2 linked regions of the Canis lupus familiaris genome follow. The protein of the gene in region 1 interacts with the protein of each later gene in a biochemical or structural test. Links are inferred from orthologs where the notes say so. Each region holds a gene or a part of one and is shown in the gene's direction. Other genes may lie near its edges.

Region 1 (3,518 bases):
CAGGCTGTGGGTTTTATTGCTAGGATACAAGGCTATTGTAATCACATAGTTCTATCAAAGGGTCTGAGGCATAGGCAGTGTGATTTCTGTTGAGGTAAATCCTCTGCTTGGCATTGGACCCTCTGAAAGACTGCCCGGTGCTGAGCTGGGAGGCAGTCTTCAGGCCTTCTTTGTTACTGGGGTGACTCTTTTGGCCTCTCCTTTCACATCTTTCCAAAGAACCTAATGTCTAGATTCTTTTCCTTTCATAGCTTCTGGTCACCCACACTGTTTCTTCTGCCACCTTGAACTTGGCTCTGACCGGGAAGTGCCTTCCAGATTTGCCAATCACGTGAATGTTGAATTCAGCATGCCTACAACTTCTGCCTCTAAAGCCTCTGTAAGATCCATCTCCGTGGAAGACAAGACTGACGTCAGGAAGTGGGTCAATTATTCCGCACACTACAGCTACAAGGTAGCCTCGGGAGACATCTGGCTAATGTTTCCAAGACCATTTGTTTACCCCTCCCCCATCTCTTGTTCCCTTTATCAGTGCCTGCCATGGATGCAAGGTGTTCTCTTACTTGGAGAGGTACACCCCACATTGCTATGGATGAGTCTACTCTGATTTGAATGACTGACTAACCTCTCTAGTGAGCAAGAGAAAAGTTGCAAAAAAATATAGAGGCAGATGAAAAGGAGAATAAATTAATGTCTTTCAGTCATCATGAACATCATCAAAAGGGTCATTGGGGTAAAGGGATGATGATTATATAATACATATTATTAATTGCATATTACATATAATATTATGAATATTATGAGTGACTGCATCATAGTATTATATACTCATTCATAATATATGTTGGAGGAGTTGTAAATTTGGAAGTAGTGGGGAGTTTGGGAGAGTGCCAACCCAAAGCATGTATTTCAGCTTCAGAGTTGATGATGTAGATCCAAATAAAGTCAGGACACATATGACCTGGTCACTGGGCTATAACAGGACAAAATTCAAAAGCCAAGCAAGCTTCGGTAATAGTAACAGGATCAGGGCTATGGAAGGAGGAAACAAAGTTGTAGTGTTCTGACATAGAGATTCCATTTTGAGGTGTTAGAAATTCAATAGCAGATTAAAGGTCAGTGATAGAAAGTGGGGGTTACTGAAAACACATTTTGCAAAGTGATTTAATAACTTTTAAAATTCATAATATCCTTTGATTTTTATGGTTATTTATTGTTCTTTAAATATTTCTTTAGTTGCATTATCGAAAATCTTAAACTACCAACAAGAACACATACTCCATCTTGTGGCCAGGGGAAAAAAAAGCACTTTCATCAAGCATGACCCTAGTCAACTGTTTGGTTATTTCCTTTATCATAAATATCCAAAGTGATAAAGAGAGGACCAGCTTTAATTAAGAAACTCTCTTGCCTGACGTATTTCTTTTCTGACTTGTCAAAGGCTTCAGTGTGTGTGTCACTTTCATGGCAAGATGAATTTATTAATCCCTTTATAGTTAAAGCTACAATATTTTGCAGAAAACACAGGTAGAACTGTAAATGGTACAACGCTTACCAATTTGGAGACTTCGTAAAACAATAAAGTAGTAGAGTATGAACAGCCAAGGGAAGGAATTCATTCATTTGATAAACCTTTGTGCTTGCCTGCTGCATGCCTGCTTTATTGGAGTACAGTAGTAGACAAGGGCCTACCCCTGTCCTAGGGAGCCTGCGCTGTGGTGAGCAGGTATACCAGGTACAGGAAATATGCACAAGAGGAGCACCTACCTTCCTAATGACTTGAGAACAGCTTCACAGAAGAGGTGACCTTTGAGCAGCTGTGCAAGGCAAAGAATAAAAATCTTCCAGGTAAACCCTAAAGATGAGGGAATTCCAGACCAAGCAAAGAGAGAATCATGATGTACTCAGGACCAGTAGCTTCACTGTGGCTAAAGCCCAAAATGGTAACAAAATTACAGGGAATCTCAGAGAATCTAGTGAGCTATTCTCTTTGGGATTATTTATTATTAGGATGTTTTTCTCCTCCTTCTGATATTTCTTTCCAACTTCTACTTTTGGCAGGTGGAAATTGAGCAAAAAAAGAGTTTGAAGCCCGACTTTGAAGGAGATGAAATGGAAAATCCCAAGGAGTGTGGGGTCCAGTGACAAAGCCCTACTGCAGGGGGCCCTGACCCAAGAGTCGTGATAGGATGTCTTCCTGAGTAGCTGAAGTACAAGGCAGTACCTACTATGGCTACTCCATGTTGGGAACAGTATCTCAGACTTTCCTGTTTGTAGTTACCTGTATTTTAACAGGAAACCTTAAGGTGATTGCTTTGGAGAGACCCTGATATGCCTGAAGCACCTGGTTCACCCAACTTTTGGAGCTTATTGTCTAATTAAGCCTCCTTCTCCTTTGCTTATATCCTAGCACTTGAGTGGTAGTTTGTTGTGACTATTGGCATCAGGAGAAAAACCTTCCACATCAGTGTTGGCAGGGTTTACTTCCAGTGTTCATCCGTCACTTACATGATTTTCTAGAAAACAGTCTTGAGACTCCACCTCTGTCACTCCCTCTAGGAAAGGTTCAGAAGAGGTACAAAACAAATGTTCTTTTTGGATCTAGTAGGCTTTTTGTACATGTCTCCATTCTTTAAATGTTAACACTATGCAACAGAAGACATTTCTCTCCTGGTTTTGGATTGTTTTAATTGAAATTCTTTTTCCATCTCTCTAGTCCCAGGGTTCACCACCCTGAGTCATAATACACAATGGGGAAAAGGCACAATAGGATACTTTTTTATTCTATGATTGGCCCCACATTCTGCAAAGGGTGGCTCTTGAAGGGAAAGCAAAATTGAGCTTATTTTTCTTCATTCTGGGGAAAAGGGACATTAATTATTAAGTTTATATTCCATTCAGGAAATTCAGTCTCAGTGAATTTCCCAGATTCACATTGAAATGTAGGTCTTTTCTAATTCCTGAAACAAATGAACATATATCTATCTATTATACCTCAGGCATTTGTCAGCAGCATTTGGGAGCTCTTTTTATACCTCAAGCATGTCTCTTTAACTCAGATTTTACAGGAAATATAAATGGAAAAGATCATTTTAAAAGCTGTTTAAAAACAACTTTTCCCCAAAATTCAGAGTTTGATAATCACAGTATTGTAATACGCCTAAAAGGCAGAAGTCTCTAGGATAGAGAAGGGAGAAAAGCCTTGTTTTTCTAATGTTGGGAATCAAGTCCTGATTCCAAGAGTCTGGGACACTCAGTCATCTTTCCCTTCATATGTTCCCGTTTACATTCTGTACCTCCAATTCTTATTTGTATCTTGGTGTTTCCTTACCATGCACGGAACCATATTGGCCATCCCAAAGGGGATAGCTGCTTGACAATTTAAAGGCAGGTTCTATCTGCCTATTTTTCCCATGAAAAATAGAGTAAAGGGACAGAAAGCATGCTTGTCAGATTTCTGATATGTCAGATGACACAGAGAAATAAATGATATATCCAATCTCGACGGGAAAATTTAG
Region 2 (3,518 bases), on another chromosome or scaffold:
GGAGGGAGTATTGCTCTTGAGATATTATAATAGCTACTGATTTAATAGGCCTGAATTTAATGTGATGGTCGAGAAGACGTCCTGCTTAAGCTCAGCCTTCAGGACAAGAATAGACTTAATCACTTCAGTGATGAACAGTGGCACTGAGAAATTATCAAAAATTTAGCCCTATTTCATACAGAGTAATTGCAGAGATGGTCCTGTACCTTTTATTAGGGCAAAAACCACTTAGGAAGAAGGAGATTTAATATCTCAGCTATTTCAAATTGCACTGGGCTGAAACATGATATGTAAATTGTCAGTTCTGAAAGAGACTTTTGAAAAAGTATTTTAATCCATGATTTTTTTTATAATTATGATAGAGTAATGTGTAGATTTTTCAGACAGAAATATGTACTAAATAGCTTGCTATTATTTTTAAAAACTTTAAAATCTTAGAGGGAGGCAATTTACCTAAGCTGCAATTTCCTAAGCACATCTACAGGAGTGTTAAAGACTGACACACAGCTAAGGTTTTGAAAGGGCTAGGTGATTTCACTGCCTCAGCTCCTCTAATTAAAGTCAGTAGCCTTTTCTGGTCACTTTAATAGCATGTTCCCTTTAATGATCTATCCCCCCTCACCCCCACCCCCCCAAGTTAAAAGATGTACGTTTTCAGTAATTAAATTGTTTCCTGCCTTTGGCTGTCAGGAAACCAACATTTTACTATTCAGAAAAACATTTAAGTATAAACTTTCCTACATAGATGTAATTAATAATGATAATTTTTGATTTTCTAAACTCATTATAGGCTCCTGAAAATTTTCAAGCAGCACAGAAATGGAGGCATCTCCAACTACATCTCTGCTGTTTTATAAGATCTTCCCACCCAAATGAGTTCTATTGATGCAGTGCCATCAAGTCTCAGGGGTATTTTTAAGATCAAACTGGAGTTGGCTGAGTAGAGCCAAATTGGAAAATCTTGTCAATTTCAGTGCCATTTTGAAGCACCACAGAGAAATCTCCGTGTAAATGTATGAACAGTAAAGCTTTCACTCAGCAGAGAAGAGAGAGCACGAAATCTGGAAGGTCAGGAGAGGCTAGGGGATGGAGCTGCAGTCTGACGACTCATGCCTTTCTGAAATCCGGATATACTTCTGGCATTTGAGTTCTACAAGAATTCTCAGATTTGACTTGCTGACAGGGGTTAAAATTCCTTTACTTTATCATAGATACAAAGCAGCCTGCCACTTTGTCTTATTTTGACTCACACACCTATACATGAAAGGCAATAAAAATGCCATAACCAAAAACTATGGAAGAAGATTTGCATTATATATAAAAGCTGAGACCACTAAAATACAATGATTTCTCTAGAAATCAATAAGAACCAAAAAAAACAATAAAAAATTCAGCAAAGAATGTATACAAGCAGTTCCCAGAAGAACAAATACAATTGGTTACTATGAAGATTTTCAAATTTTTCCACTCACTAGTGGTCAGGGAAATGTAATTTTATCATTTTTAATTTTGAATAACTATGTATAGCTTTTTAAATTATTTTTTCCAATTCTCTAAAGCAGTAAGAATGCATATCCTTAGAAACAAAGCTCCTAATATTTACCATCTTTATAACCTTTGATTTTTTTCAGCAGAGTTGTTGTATTCAATGGGAAATACATTATCTATTTTTATGTTCAAAAGAGAGGAGCATTTGAATATATTTTGTGAAATAATGAGCTTTCTAGTATGTCAATTTACATTACACTAAGGTTTAGATGATGAGGAATACCCAGTTGGTCCAAACTGAGTTGAGAGTTCAGAACCATGATTTTTGTTCATTAACGCAAAATAAATGTTTATACTGATTTCAGCTTGACAAAATTGTAAACATAACTGCTCTTGTTTTTTGGTATCAAATAGACCCATAAATCAATTTAATTCAGCCTAGCTTTCTGTGGAGCTGTTATAAAAATAAAATGGTAAACTTAAACTGGAAGCGGGGTAGATTTTTCTCTCAACATGCATTTGCTGGTGGCATGTTTCTTCCACTTTTTCCATAACCATTATAAATGTATATGTGAAACTTAGGAAATGGAAATTCTTGGAGAATCACTTACTCAGCTACCTTTCTCATAGGAAACAAGGCAAGAAAAGGCCACGCATTTCATATAAATACTCCGCTGCATGTAACAATGGTGTTTTACATGATGCTTAGCTTAGATCTCTTTCAACTACATGAATGTGAAACCTGGCCTGGTTAATAGCATGTTTATCATACCTCCGAAAGAAGCGGTTTTAACCAAAGCCAAACATTTTACCAAAGTGGACATTTTCTTTGCAACAACTTTACATTTTTCGCTTGCAATATTCTGAGGGGCTTCTTCCATTGCTTTCATGTTGCTTGCTGATTGGGAAGAAAATTCCGTGCACCAGTGGAATTTTAAAAATCTATAAGCAGCAAATGTGAATGTGTGTCAGACAAATGGATTTCCAGCATCTTAGTGCTTGCTTCTAACAGCTTGGAAGTGTAACCACAGGCCCAGGTTGATGTGGGTTTCACTGAATTCACTTGAATTCATGTATCATTCGTTTCCCTACTCCTAGGCTCTAAAGGACGATGATGCTGAAACTGGATTGACTGATGGCGAAGAAAAGGAAGAGCCCAAGGAAGAGGAGAAATTGGGCAAACTTCAATATTCACTGGATTATGATTTCCAGAATAACCAGGTCTGAGGGCTTGGGGGGGGGTGGGGGATGAATTCTAATTCCATTATGTTTTCTGAAATTACCAAGTAGGAATTGAAGCAAGATACTTCTTAAAACATTTCGTGTGCCGCGAGGGGAAAATGCAATTATCAAAGCTATTGATGAAATAATTTCTAAGTACAGGCAGTCCCCTACTTGCTAATTTAACCTCTGGTAATTAGAATTCACAGTATTCAACCGATTACATCTACTTATGGCACTTAGAGCAGGCAAGCAGAATACAAATGAACTTGGCAAGTCGTCCAGTCTGTTTCTGACGGCTCCCAGCCAGTCTGGCTCCCACTGGCCCATCAGCCTGAGCTCCAACAATCGCCCTTGGAATTCATGGCATTAGATCCAAACAGGGCGAGGAACTGTTGAAACAAACCACCATTCAACCAAAGCTTTATTTTATTTTTTATTGGAGTTCAATTTGCCAACATATAGCATAACACCCAGTGCTCATCCCGCTAAGTGGCCCCCCAGTGCCCGTCACCCAGTCACCCCCACCCCTGCCCACCTCCCCTTCCACCACACCTAGTTCATTTCCCAGAGTTAGGAGTCTCTCATGTTCTGTCACTCTCACTGATATTTTCACTCATTTTCTCTCCTTCCCCTTTATTTCCTTTCACTATTTTTTATATTCCCCAAATGAATGAGACCATATAATGTTTGTCCTTCTCCAACTGACTTACTTCACTCAGCATAATACCCTCCAGTTCCATCCACGTTGAAGCAAATGGTGGGTATTTGTCATTTCTAATGGCTGAGGAATATTCCATTGTATACAT

The links. The genes of interacting proteins can lie anywhere in the genome.
Region 2: the proteins of STON2 (region 1) and SYT1 form a complex in vitro, tested with the Homo sapiens proteins (2 studies listed by BioGRID). The link is inferred for Canis lupus familiaris from reciprocal best matches to the Homo sapiens genes STON2 and SYT1.

Annotation. Positions count from the first base shown.
Region 1 is NC_049229.1:53,904,020-53,907,537, reverse strand, and holds part of STON2 (stonin-2), read left to right. Parts: intron 1-251; coding exon 252-454; intron 455-2,061; coding exon 2,062-2,145; 3' UTR 2,146-3,518. UniProt on the Homo sapiens protein: Adapter protein involved in endocytic machinery. Involved in the synaptic vesicle recycling. May facilitate clathrin-coated vesicle uncoating.
Region 2 is NC_049236.1:22,131,657-22,135,174, forward strand, and holds part of SYT1 (synaptotagmin-1), read left to right. Parts: intron 1-2,586; coding exon 2,587-2,709; intron 2,710-3,518. UniProt on the Homo sapiens protein: Calcium sensor that participates in triggering neurotransmitter release at the synapse. May have a regulatory role in the membrane interactions during trafficking of synaptic vesicles at the active zone of the synapse.